2 linked regions of the Mytilus edulis genome follow. The protein of the gene in region 2 purifies or fractionates together with the protein of the main gene of each other region. This does not show direct contact. Links are inferred from orthologs where the notes say so. Each region holds a gene or a part of one and is shown on either strand. Other genes may lie near its edges.

What was found. The genes of interacting proteins can lie anywhere in the genome.
Region 1: the proteins of transcriptional coactivator YAP1-A-like (region 2) and large ribosomal subunit protein uL11-like purify together in Homo sapiens (affinity purification with mass spectrometry, with the first as the bait; 3 studies listed by BioGRID). This does not show direct contact. The link is inferred for Mytilus edulis from reciprocal best matches to the Homo sapiens genes YAP1 and RPL12.

Annotation. Positions count from the first base shown.
Region 1 is NC_092350.1:443,119-450,213, reverse strand, and holds the start of large ribosomal subunit protein uL11-like, read left to right. Parts: upstream 1-4,091; 5' UTR 4,092-4,216; coding exon of another isoform or gene 4,217-4,253; intron 4,254-7,095.
Region 2 is NC_092346.1:52,558,693-52,566,210, forward strand, and holds the start of transcriptional coactivator YAP1-A-like, read right to left. Parts: upstream 3,018-7,518; 5' UTR 2,496-3,017; coding exon 2,056-2,495; intron 1-2,055. UniProt on the Homo sapiens protein: Transcriptional regulator with dual roles as a coactivator and corepressor. Critical downstream regulatory target in the Hippo signaling pathway, crucial for organ size control and tumor suppression by restricting proliferation and promoting apoptosis.

The DNA.
Region 1 (7,095 bases), on a different chromosome or scaffold from region 2:
TTTAACGATAAAACTGAAATATAATTTTCAAATTTAAGTTCTGTTTTGAATAATTTATAACATAAACCTTTTGATGATTGATTTACATTTGCAAACCATTCTTGTTTAAACTGATCTTTTAACTTTAATTTGTTCAATACTTAATACAATTCATTTTTTTGAGATACAATCTTGATTTTGCCAAATGTTTGACATACCACAATTATCAAAAATACTTTTGATAAATAACAACCATTTGTTTTCAATTCCATACTTATTATAATTAATATATATCAACTTATATAACATTGACGAAATCTTGTTATCAAGTGTGTTATCAAGAAGGTTGCACCAAAATTTTATCATCCGTAATTTAATGTATAAAGAAATCGGATATCTTCCCAATTCCCCGTAAACCATAAAATTCGGAGTCGATCTTTTTAACCGTAAAACATGCTTACAAAAACTCAAATGTACTCTTTCTAAAATGTCAAGATTTTCGTATCCCCAGATTTCGGCCTCATATAAGAATATAGGTAAAACAGCTTTGTCAAACATATCGAGCTGGCATTCTATAGATAGATGGTTTGATCTACACTTCTTAATAACACAATACATAGCTCTAGTAGCTTGATCTCTAAGATATTTTCTAGTTGCAAAAAAAGATGCAGTTCTAGTTGCTGACATCTATAGATTGGATGAAATTGGCTGATTGGGCTGTTATAATTGGTTCTTTTGTTCAGATTTCGATTAGAACTGTATTTATTGATCGAAATATTCGACGAGGACATTTCCAGAGGAGTCGACTAAGTAATTCACTTGATACTGACAAAATCCCAAGAAGAAAAAAAATAACATTTTAATTAGACAAAACTTTATACATTTGCAATTGTAGCCACTGATATAAGGTAAAGGTAGACAATAGGGCCCAGGACAGGAATCGAACAAATTCTTTTCATTGTGTTCCAGTAAGCATATTATATTTGTTCTGTACTGCTTCTAGATGTAATAATGATTTTTTTATTATCAAAACTTTGATGTTTTTCATTTGTATCAGAAATCGAAGTCTGACAAACTGCATTATTTGGGACCTGACTCCAAAGTAACTTGATTTATTCTCAGGATTTATTAAGCAATTCAATTCAATTCAATTCTTTAGTTCAAATGGTTTGACAAAAAGGTGCAAAAGAATCCAAACTGAGGGAAATAAATTTCCCTCTCAAATTTTTACGTTAAATTAAGATGTAAATATATATAGAGGATTACCTAGTGTTAAACAATTCCCCTTTAAAGTCATAAGTAACCTAATTACTTTCAAAAACATGAAACAACAAATACAATAAAAACATTTATTAGGCGCCTAATGAAATGAATTCACACAACACAATAGTTCAATACTATTCAATAAACAAATTTAAGAATGACCAATATAGATATTCAAAAATTGTTAATACATAAGAGAGGGGGGGCAAGGGGTTTAACTGTTATGCTGTTATGGGGCAATTTAATTCTCTGTTATCTGTTATTTTGAAAATATATTTGCTGTTAGCTGTTATTGTCTTATTCTTTGTTAGCTGTTATTGGGCTTTTAGTTTTTTTGTTATCTGTTATTGTGATAATGTATTTGCTGTTAACTGTTATTGAAAATTGGAATGTTAGCATTTTTTTTGACAGTCAATATTCGGTATAAATTGAAGATCATTGGCCATTGAGGTCTACCACTACTAATATGTTTGTCCCGTATTCAGAGAAGGATTCCATTAACATATACCCATCACAGAAGTGAGGTCCAGGACAATTCAAGTATATCTTATGATTATCCTTTTCAATAAATTCCATTTTTTTTTTATGAATGTGTATTTAGAATTATCTTATTTTTTTTTGCATGAGAATAATGTTCCTTGTTTTCCGTACGAACATATTAAATTAAAACAATTCTTAATATGACAAAAAGGAAAACATATGGCCAGGAATATCTGACAAGGATCTCAATTAAGGACTAGGTCCTAACAACCACTTAACCTTTTATATAATATGGTACATAGACACAGCTCTGTGATTCTTTTCAAAGCAGAACCAAATGCATTGTACAATGAAAGTTCCAACCATGTACTTGGGTCCGAAGCTGCACATAACTCATTACAAACAAAGATTTATTTCGTTTCAAGCCATTGTTTCCCTACTAAACTATGTATTCTACTTACTAGTACACTTGGTACAATCAACAACCTCAGCTGATAAAAAATTGTTCAAATAAGGCCTTTGAAAATAGTGGAATAAATTGCTTTTAGAGTGTCAAAAAGTACTTGATAAATTGCATGCTTATAATTGGTGCTTTTGATTTTTTTACCCTATATACCACTTTGCCTCATAGTTTTATTAAGAAAAATTCACACACCCCATTAAATGGTCATTTAGAAAAAGTCAGAATATTCAAACTCTTTTAGGTCACTTTTTTGATTAGCAACAAAGGGAGCTTCAGTCAATATATATAAACAATACACCAACGTTTCATGAGAACTGCTGAAAACATTTTTGTGTTAATGTCACCCCTTTTTAATTAATGAAACCCGTTCACTCGGAAACGTAAAATCTAAAATTTATAAAAATTGAAAGTTATCTCATGTTAATAGATATAAACAATTCACCAAAATTCCTTGCTTTGTGAAAGCATTTTTGAGATATTATCAGAAAATTGAAAAAAAAACCAACATCTTTATTGAATAAAAACCCATTACCCAGAAACTTAAAATCTAAAATTTATGAAAAAAAAAGGGAGCTCACGTCAATAGATATAAACAATTTCCCAAAGTTTAATGCAAATGGTTAAAGAGTTTTTTGAGTTAATGTCCGACATGTTGACAACAGACGGACAACAGTATACCATAATACGTTCCGTAAACGAGCGTATAAAAAATATTATAATATATTGAGTAGTAATTTAAACACATTCTAGATAGATAAATTAATACTAAAAACATAGTCATAAAAAATGGAATGCATTACAAAGGATTATATCTGTAATAAGAAATACTGATTTGTCAAAGACTGAATAATTTTAATATTTCATTTACTGTTATCTGTTTTTGACCATTTTAATTCCTTGTTATCTGTTATGAGCCAAATCAATTTGCTGTTTTGCTGTTATTGGGACCCCCCTTGCCCCCCCTCATAAGAATTAACCCTAAACCAGTAGAGAAAATATAGAAATACCCAAAAGTAAAAATGGGCACGGGTGGGCGGGTTAAAAAATGTTCTCAAAACTACCAAAATGTGTTGATCGACGCTTCAACTCAAATTTCAAAAATAATATATAATAAGAACTAAGTGTTTACCGTGTGAAAGCAAATCTTTGAGTGATGTAAAAAGGTATGTAATTTAACAGGTAAACGAAAGTGAGTAGAATTCAACTAACAAACCAATAAAAAAAAGTTATGACAAATTCAGTATGCCGAAAAGAATATAGCATTTAAATAAATAAATTCCTTAGGAACAGAAAAATAATAACTCTAGCAAAAATATAAATTTCTTTCTCAGTAATTAATCATTTTTGTCGAAATAAAAATTTCCACAAATTCAAAAAATAATGCACATGTTTTTGTTATAACTCAATCATTAGTTTTCAATATAAATCAAACTTATGTACATATACTTTTTCTGAAGAAAACACCTTAATTTGTTCATATATTTACAAGAAGTTAACGTTATTTTAATTGCTTGCTTCAAGGAAGCAATTCCCCGACATATCCATGTTTTTTTGTTGATTGTTTACAAACAGGTGACAATCGTTAAACTTCGGCTTCAAAACACAATTATACCTGCCATATTTTCACAACAACCATGACAACACTGACCGATTGTAAAAAATTGACGATTATACGCAATTTATGCGAAAAAAATGATAAAATCGTGCACAGAAGACTAAGTTTATGATGTTTGTATGCATTGGTTCGAGAATAGGAATAACATTATTTTTCACCGGTCACTCATTTCATATGACTTTAATAAAAAAAATGTTCACATGTTGAAGAACGTCGTTGTTTATAACGTAAGATTACTCATAAAGGTATTTGGACATATCATTTATTTCGTCACGGGAAATAAACTTTCTACTTCCTCTTTTACTTTCATTTTGAAGACGGTGTGGTGCAACCTTTTTGGTCGTGTCTATATCCAGACTCATCCAACATCATTACCGTCGTAAATTAATTCTAAGTTGATAGAATAATAAACAAACATGCCTCCTAAATTCGATCCAACCGCAATTACAGTTGGTAAGCTTCTTATTCCAAATACATTTGCTTTCATATTGACGTGTAACCAAAAAAAAAAAAATTGCAATGGTACATGTAATTTTATAGTGACTGTGTACAGGTCCAGAATTGAATCTGTACTGAACGGGTTTTATGATCTGGTTTACGGGACGTATTAGCCTAATATTTAATACCATTGTCCGTCTGTCCGTACATCGTCAACCTGTTCAAATTATAACTGAACTTCAAACGCTAGAACCAATTCGATTGACACTTTTGGTGAAATCCCTGAATTGTATATATTTACTGACGCGAGCTCCCTTTCGATTTTTATAAATTTTACTTTCAAGTTGTGCGAGTTTATTCATTAAAAAAAGGGGGTGGGATTTTCCAGTGTTGAGACAATAACTCAAAAATGATTTCAGCAGTTTCCATGAAACTTTCGTGTTACCCTCGAGAATTGTGTATATGTATTGACGCAAGTTTCCTTTTGTTTATTCATGTTTTACGTTTTGGAGTTGTGTGATTTTATTCTTAGAAAAAAAACCGAATTTTCCAGTTTTCACACAATGTTTTTATCCGCAGTTATCATGAAACTTTGTAGTCCAAATACAAATGTAATTATGACGTCTGGCAAGGCTATTTTAATTTTTTTCTGGTCTTAGGAAGGCGTCCCAGAAAAAAATTAAAATAGCCTTGCCAGAAGTCCTGATTATTTGGACTAGAAACTTTAATTGGTGACTGGTTTTTATCTACTTAAATAACCTCCCTTGAGTTTATCATAATTTCTGATATGACATTGACACGAAGAGGTAATGGTGAGACTAGATTCTGTCATTGCATTCGAAACTATACATTGTTGCTCTTATGATCTTATAAAGTTGACTCTTTAAGGTTCCACTAAGGTCAAAATATAGGACACTACAGAAACATCAAAACTTGCCTGTATTTACATGTAACAACCTAAAATGAATAAAATCCTAAACTATAAAAACATGTTCATTTAAACATTCTTAACATATACACATTGTGTAAATTGTAAATAAACTTGAAATTTTTGTCGTGTAAAACCGGTTTTGGGGGGTGAACACTTGATTTTCCAAAAAATCTGGAGACCTGTGAGATGACTTAATTCGTTTCCAATTCGTATGAACGAATACTGTTACAAGCTAAATGTTAATTATATAATTTGTCACAGAAATATTGTTTGATGACATTTTTGTCCAATTTCTGTATTGTTTTGGTATTCGTTCACTTTAATAATAGATTCATGAAATTAACTGAAACTCGTTAATCAATTCATTTTCCTAAAAAACAAACACTACATTTGTAGCTTGTACTGCATTACATGTAACAGTATTAGTTCATACCAATTTTAATTATATAAACACATTTAAGACATTTCACAGGTCTCCAGATTTTTTGAAAAATTAAGTGAACATTCACCCCCCAAAACCGGTTTTACATGACACAAAAATTTAGTTTATTTACAATTTTCTTAATGTGTACATGTACATGTTAAGTATGTTTAAATGAACATATGTTCCCATAGTATCAGAGTTTTAGAAGATGTCTTATCAGACAGACAGACAGAATATTTTATTATAGTGTCGCATACCAATACAACAATATCGTACATCATAATATTAGTATAAAAATACAAATAAAAATTTAAATCTAAGTTAAAATATCGGTATCCAGCCATGACTGACTTATGATGAGACACTTTTGCTTTAAAACTTATTCTAACATTCATTACAAATGAATAAAAAAAAACTTTTAAATTACATTGAAAAAAACAAAAAAAATACTGTACACAATATTTTCTGCGATTAAACATAAAATATAAGGATTTTGCTAAAAAGGGTTGTATACAGTCATGTGATATCAGAAAAATAAATTTATCACTGAACTAGTATACATTTTTGTTTAGGGGCCAGCTGAAGGCTGTAAAGTTATTTTCTGTTTGGTCAGGTTGTCTTTATGACGCATAGATTCAGCATAACAAAACCTATATGTCACAGATATTTAGGAAGGCTTGACTCGTATGTCAACATGGTGCATCATCCATATGGTGAATACCTTAGAAATGTGAAAAACAAACTCCAAAACAGGATATAATAGAACAATTTACTAATCGAAAATGGTGTCCACCACACAAAGTGACCATATAGAAATGTAAACAATTGAAACACCTGATAAAGTCACACCTGAGCCTCAGAGGGAACCTGAAATTTACATTCATAGTTGAACCATGCAAAAATATAATACATAATATCTTCTGAAAAAATAGTTAAGATTAAAATTATAGCAATAAACTAACTTATAATTGTTACATACATATATAAATACCAATTTACCACAATTTGGTATTTAGTTTATATTGTTTTATCATGACGAGATAAAGAGCAAGTTTGTTTTTTGTGTCGGTCTGATAATTTTGTGCAGAGTTATAGCCCTTGGACTTTGAAAATTCACAAAAATATCAGTTTCCTCACTTTTTTGTCATGCTTGAAGATATTGTTTTGATATTTGTTTAATATATAGTTTACACAATGACAAGTTAAAGGTCAAGTTAGCATTTTGTTCCAGTACAATTAATTTTAAACAATATGGTATCAGACTACTATAAATTGCCTTGGGTAATTTGCAGTGATTTTAAATTGATGTGAATTGGTTATAATATAGTCTAAAATTGGAAGATTAAACATGAATGCAAAAAAAACCAGAACACTATTTTTAATAGTTAACATTGAAGCACTTTACTGGATTTACTTTCACCAGGAACACTAAATGAGGGGGGACAATACATGTTAACACCTCGATTTTGGCAAAAACAGTTAACAAATATACATAATTGCTG
Region 2 (7,518 bases):
CATGTAGGTTACTGGTAAAGACAAAATTTAAAGTGCAACAAACCCACTTTTCCCACACTTCTAAATAATAAGACTTTTAAAAGTACAAAAATATATATATATATACATGTACAAGGAACTTCATGTCAATTGTATAATGTATCATTGTCTGCAGTTTTGTTTTTTTTTTCATATTCAGGTGAACATGCATACATGTATATGTACATCATGATCTGGATGAATATTGATTGATATAATGCATATGGTGAAAAACACCCCTTTCAGCACTAACGGATATTTTGTGGTGGTCGGTTCATTATTAGTGGAGTAAGCCTGAGAGCCTAGACAGAATCACTGACATTCGACCAAAAAAAAAAGATTCAATTTGATCAAAAATGGAGTCATGCACACCTGCCATGTGTAGGATTCAAACTCACAACATCAGTGTTGACAGGCACTGGCTAGTTAGACAGTAGAAGGGAACACTTACACTACAGTCAAAGCTGTTTAGCCTTAGACTATTTGGCCAATGAAGTCCCTATCTTGAGCAATAGCAGTTTTTCTTACTGCATGCTGAAGCATGAAATTAGTGACAAGGCAGCCGCACTCTTAATTCCACAATCCAAATCCTAAGGCCTGGTACCAGTGATACAACTTATCTATTAGTTGCAGTTACATGTACATGTACATTGTACATATCATGTAGTCTGTGGTTCTAAAGAATATACATTGTAGATGAGATACAGGAGAATTAAATTGCCAGTCTAGATCTTGTGTATGAAATTTGAACTACATTGATATGAAAGTTGATCTTCAATATTTTTTTTTATTTTGTTATTTGTTGTTAGCAGAGCTTATCATGCTTATTACTTTCACAAATTACTAGGATTCTGGATTATCCTCGTACTATGCGTTTTGGTGCCATTACATGTAGGAATGCATTATGACATCACAATTTCTATTGAAAAAGCATCTGTAGTACAAAATCATATATGACCTATATGTACATGCATGAAAATATACGATCTGACCATACATGTACATTTGTAATATAACATTATAATCTGTTTAGCAAATGGCAGGCAATTTTCGTATTTTCTAATTTTATTTTCTGTAAAAGTATTTGAATAAAAATGTACATGATGTAAATGAATATTGTTTGAATCCTTTAAATTGCCATAAAATCATTTTGCATCTGGGGAGGCTTTATATGGTAATTAATTTAAGAAGGTCCTTCTGATTATAATACTACATGTATAACTGGCAGAGTCTGTGTGTCAGTTTTATGGAACCACAATTTAAATAGATAGCGGAAAAGTATTGACTATTTTTTTTTTTTTTTTTTGGCAAATTGGAAATTTAAAAAGCTAGATTCCAATGAACTGATAAAAATTATTTCTGTTATAATGAAAATTTTGTGACCTAATTTAATTTAATTTTCAATCACTGACCTTTCTGATTGGGTCATGTCTAGCAATTAATACTGTTTCTGGACACTTGCGGAATTAATACAAATGTAAAATAGTTTTTTCTGGACATTTCAAAGAGGAAATAAATGCAGAATAAGTCCATGGTCCGACATAGATGATGTCCAGCTTCCATATAACATTATAAAGGGGCATAACTCGAGAACAGTAAAAGTGTTGAATCAACACCAATTACTGCCTCCTCCATGACCTGGCCATAATAATAATAATGCAATTTTGCAGGCAATATTGACAATTAGCTATATAGCTACCCATTTACAGAGAGGAACTAGTTTGTTTACATTTGAAGTCGTGAAATTTATATATAAAAAAAAACACAACAAATAATTTGTAAGTGCATAAGAAACACAATAACATATAAATATATATTCTCTGTAATTTTCTTTTGCCCTTTCTGTTTTATTCCTTTCTTGAGCCTCAGCTCTTTTAATCTGGTTACACCTGAAAAAGTAATCTACTTACCCATTTCTAAATTTGCAAACAAAAACAGAAATTAGTAAAAACATATTCACTGACTGTATAGTAGAACACTAATGACTTTTATGAATAATGCATACATATGTACATGTAGTTTTATAATTTTACTCACTTTATATAGTAAAGTTGTCCGTCTGGAGTTCTTGCCTTTTCCCAACCTTGAGGCAGAGGGGGTTCGTTGTCTAACATTGAGTCACATGAATGTTGCCTTGCATGTTGATGCTGTGGAGGATTTTGTGGAATAGTGGATAATGGCTGCAAACTTGCAGGTGATGAATGCGCCCTGGTATGCACTGGAGGTGCAATTATATTAGGTCCATAACCTGTTGAATCGTTACTACCTTGTTTTGAATGACCCGATTGTTGAGAGTTTGGTGGTGTAAAAAAAGAAGCTGGGAAATTACGCATTTTCATAGGCACTTGTCCAGTTTGGCCCGAGCGGGCCGGGTTCATGGCAGCATTAAATAATTCATCGAGTTCGTTCCCACTGTTGTCCCGGACGTGTATCACCTGATTACCTTTACGCTGCGATAAATCCGACTGTTGGGACATTTTGACGAAATTTATGAAAATCACAACACTAAAAACCGAAAATTATCCTACTCAGCTAAGACAAAAACATTTCTAGAGTAAGCGAAACTAGTTACATATCCTTGAAGATTTCCTGAGAACTTTTCTTCTTGTCGGACACCATTGAAGTTTTACGAAAATTAACCCTATGACTGGTCACAACCAGGTTTAACAGGTTCCCCTCATCCGCGGGACGAAATAGTGCATTATAAACTATGGGTTATTTTAATCAATCTTAAGTTGATGATGAATATTCAATACTTGGTTTGTTGATAATGGTTAAAAAGGGATATTTTTTTAGTTTTTTTCCTTATTGACATTCTAAATCTTAAGTTGTACGACAACACTACCGATGTGAATTGCGTATGTTTTAGCACCTTGTGACGTCATAGGAAATTATGTCAATGGTGACAAACTACATAGTATACTTTGTAAACAATTTTTGACATAGTGATATAAAAGTATTACATGTAAAGATGAAATATAATTTTTTTATTTGTATGTAAATAATTATGACATTAACCCTTTTTCAAATAATAATCGATGCTTAGATTCCCCTTGATAGGCCCATTAATCCTTATAAGGGGCTTGTTTTATTGTGAATATGTCAATCAATCAATGGCCGAGTTTTGATAAGTAGTTCAGTTGAATTTTACTGCGTGGGTGGGGACTTCAAATGGTGAATCATTCTTTAAAATTACTACTTTTACTACTTTTTTACAATAACTTTAACACAGAAAGGCGTTAGACATATATTATTCATAGCTGACAGAAAATCTGAAATATTCTTTTTTTTTTATTCTTATCAGCATCTTTATCCAAATTTGTTATATCTGAGTCATATTCAAGTTTTTTAAAGAAAAACGCAGAACGCTGAAAAAGTAACAACAAGTCGACCCTCTTTCAAAAGATTAAACATTAACACCGAGTAGAAAATTGGAAATAACACTAGAAAATCAAACAAAAGTAATTTAAAACGGCCGGAAAATTGCCAACTATATTTGAGTAAATCAATCCAGGCACACTTGAGTTTGAACGCTGTATGATCCTGTATGTGCAAAATTTACTTAATTTCAAATGGACCAAGTCCAGTAACTTTTAGAACGTCGGAAAACCATGAAATAGAAAAAAAAATCGAAAGGGATCTTCATTTTATCAATCCAAACAATAATATAAAGTTTATGAGAAGCCTTTAATACCCCAACTACTTTTCAGGAAATAAATCTAGGCAATCAATCCAGGCATAGAGTTTGTTTGCTTCAATTCAGATGGTTCAAGTCCCGTATCTTTGGAAAGGCAAATCCTGGAATAAAATAAAATACATCGAAAGGGAGCTTCAAATCTAAGCAATAGTGTAAAGTTTATGAGGAATAAACTCAAGCATACTGCGCAATATGTTAACAATGGCTGTTAAAGTACCGTAACTCTGGGAATCATAGCCATTTTTTTTTTAAATTAATAGGGGGTTTTCTTCCGTCTATCTAGTATCATAGTTATAGCAAATTTGGGTTATTGTGAAATGTAGACGGACGTAACAGACGGACAAATGAGAGTTAATTAATTGGGTAGGGACACACATATTGCCTTTCAACAGGCCACCTAACCCAACAAAGAGTTGCTACGAGGATTCTTAACGTTCATATCTAGCGTATTGCCACTATCTCTACAAGAGGCATCGGATTTAATGTCCCATATTACCGGACGTGCAGTGGGACGTGACTGCGTATATTTATACATTATATACAGCCAAACGAACCCCCAACTTTAGCAAAGGTTTTTACTACCGATTGAAAGAAGACCAAGCTAGTGAACAGTTTGTTGAAAACCAATAACAACTAATAAATAAAATGTATTGTCAGGTTATGGATCATGTTGAGGTTCATTAGTATTTGTTAAAAAAAAAAGTGAAATTATCTAAAGTTAGTTTTTAGTGTCTATTTAAGCTGGAATATAATATACATTACATTCTATCCTATAACCCAGAGTCTAATGTAATACTTGACATTTAATTAATTTTAAAAAGTTTTGACAACTTCATTTTTTAATAAATAAATGTTTGTGAAAAAAATTGTCACGGTAGGCACGTGCCTTAAGTGTCCAGCGGCATTCAGCTGTGTTCCTGGAACTTCACACATATAAATGACTAGCAATATTTTCAGTTCAGTTCAGTTTCATGCATTTGCCTGCCATGATGATAGCACACTACCTTAGGGTATCATGTTGAAGACCAGTTTGAAAAAGAAAATACCCGCTCTGTCTAAAATTTATAATGTCTATGTAAAACTGGAGTTACATTTTAAGTATGCATTGCACACATATAAAACCGTTCATTATTACGAAAAGATACACTGTACTTCGAAGGAAATTAAGTAAATAACTTGAAGATGGTGTTACTAAATTTTAGTGGATACTGCTTTACAATCATAAAATTATTGAATCGAGCATTTGTTTGGAACATCAGTTATTTTTTATATGTTGGTGCATTTTTACAGAGTAGTGAAATCACCCTTATAGCTATCAACAAACCGTAGGGGAAATTACCCACCTTTGACTTGATAAAACAACACAGGAGATCAGGTTTACAAGGTCTTTCAAACTCAATCACTGAATTGCCGGATAGTTCACTTGAATAATCTCACAACCACCAATTCCGGAAACTCTTTAAAAGTGGGCACTTAACCGAAAGTGCTACTTGAAGTACTTTAAGTGTTTACAAACAATAGTTTTATTCATTTTATGTCTCACACGTACCGTTTTGTATTGCTCTTGTTTACAAAGCCTCCTATAGAATAAAATAAATCGTGACAATAGAATTTGTCCGATTTTTCAATTAACTCATTCATCGGGAATTTTCCAGCATAAATGACAAAATACAGACATCAACCAACAGCACAAGCCATCACAGTTATGTGACGGTATGATGAACGTAGACACCCAACAATATCATCCACTCGTTTTATTTGGCCCATTTGTGAATAAATCGAAATAGGATGACGGAAAATCTGAAAAAAAATCATTGTAACTATACTATATATGATGATTTTTCCTAGACACTAACTAGAAAGTTGGTTGGTAGCGAGCAGATCATGTGCATATCTAAACCAAATTGAGACCATTTTGAATCCAGAATACTGGATTGAATATAGGCTTAACGCAATACGTTCCAAACAACATCGCAGATGCGATTAATGTTCTCGAGATTAATGTAGTTGAAGTTGTTACAGTTTTTGTTTTTCATCGTAGTAAAAAGGTAAGCATCTGACGACGCCTGCAAATTCTGCTTTGCTGATGTCGTTGTCATTCAAAACCATACTGAATACAGCCTAAAGTGATTATTTGATTGATTACTAGGCCTCAAGTTAACACCACTGTCAGCACTATTGGCTATTTCGTGGCGGACAGTTTTTATTGACGAAAGAAGCCAGATTGGCAGGAGAGAACCTACGACCTTCAGCAGGAGAGAACATACGACCTTTGGCAGGAAAACTAACAGTCCTAGTAAATTCAGATTGGAATCTGTCACGTGCGGGGTTCGGACTGACAACCTCAGTGTTGACAAGTTAGTTATACAGCCTATATATATATATGAGCATACCTAAAAATGGAACGTTCTCAACTGCTGGGACATAAAATAAACCCCCGACTATTGTAGAATCGTCTGCCATTTTGCAGGTATAGATCGTTCTAATGTCTACCTGGGATAAGATACAGACTGACCCCTGTTACCTCAAGCCATCACGCAACACACATTGTCTTCACACCAAACACGATAGGAAAACCTGCCAATATGATTAATAAACCACATTCCTTTTGAATATTTTGTTTCAGCTGTCTTACACTTATTCCTTATGATATACCTCATATTTCATTCTTCAATATTTTGCCAATTTTTATATCTGTTGCTTGGTGAGTAACATCTTGTGTTTCCCAATCAAATTGACATGCGACTAATGTGTGCTGGTCGTACTACCGTTTTGGTCGCTTGTTGTAACTTGTTGAACTGACCTTGCATCAGGCTCTGTACAATTGTTGGTTGTCCTTTCATGCATGTATTTTGTGTTCGAGTCCTAGTACTGGCACCTAGCACTCGTTGAAGTCTACTTGATAGTTCTTGCTAAAACTAGTTCTATCAATGGTGATCTTGATGGCGTGTTTGTTGAGTCGCAATTGTCTCTGAAACTCGTCGTTGATGTCTCTGATACTTTAAAAATAACGCAATGACAAACCAAGTACTAGTAATACAATATCGTTAGACAAATGAAAGGTTGAATCCCCTGCATTATTAGTCGAGAAGAGTACTAAATATCGGCCATCTTCACTAGAGCTATTTCGAAACTCTGTCTATCTTTCGGATAACGGATTGGATTTAAACGAGTTTCTATTAGTTTTGAGAAATAGTATTAGTCATTGACGTCACTTTTTGCGTTTAGGCTTTGACTTACTCGAGTGTGTATTTTTTTGTGTTAGATTATGTTGGTTTGTGTAATGTATCCGGTTTTTTTCTGTAATTAGTTAATACTTTAGTTATTTCATGTATATCTAATATATAGTAATTTTATAAAATTTACTGTTTGCAAAAGTATAAATTATTCTAAATAATAAGGATGTTTTTATCACAAGCAGAAAATCCTAGCCGTATTGGGGACAACTTTTTAGAACTTTTGGTTCTCAGTGCTGTTTAGCTTTGTACTTGTTTTGGCTTTCAAACTTTTGTATCTGGGTGTCACAAGTTAGTTTTGTCTGGACGAAACGCACTTCTGGCGTATTAAAATTTAAACCTGTTGCCTTTTGTTAGCTATTATTCGTGTGTTTCTTTGTCCAATATGTTCTCCTATTTATTTGCATTGTAGTCCTGTAATGTTATGTTGTCATTTTAATATTATATTTAACATTGCCATTAAAGCGGGAGGTTTGGCATGCCACAAAACCAGGTTCAACCCACCATTTTTTTTCTTTTAAAAAATGTCCTGTACCAAGTCAGGAATATGGCCATTATTATATTATA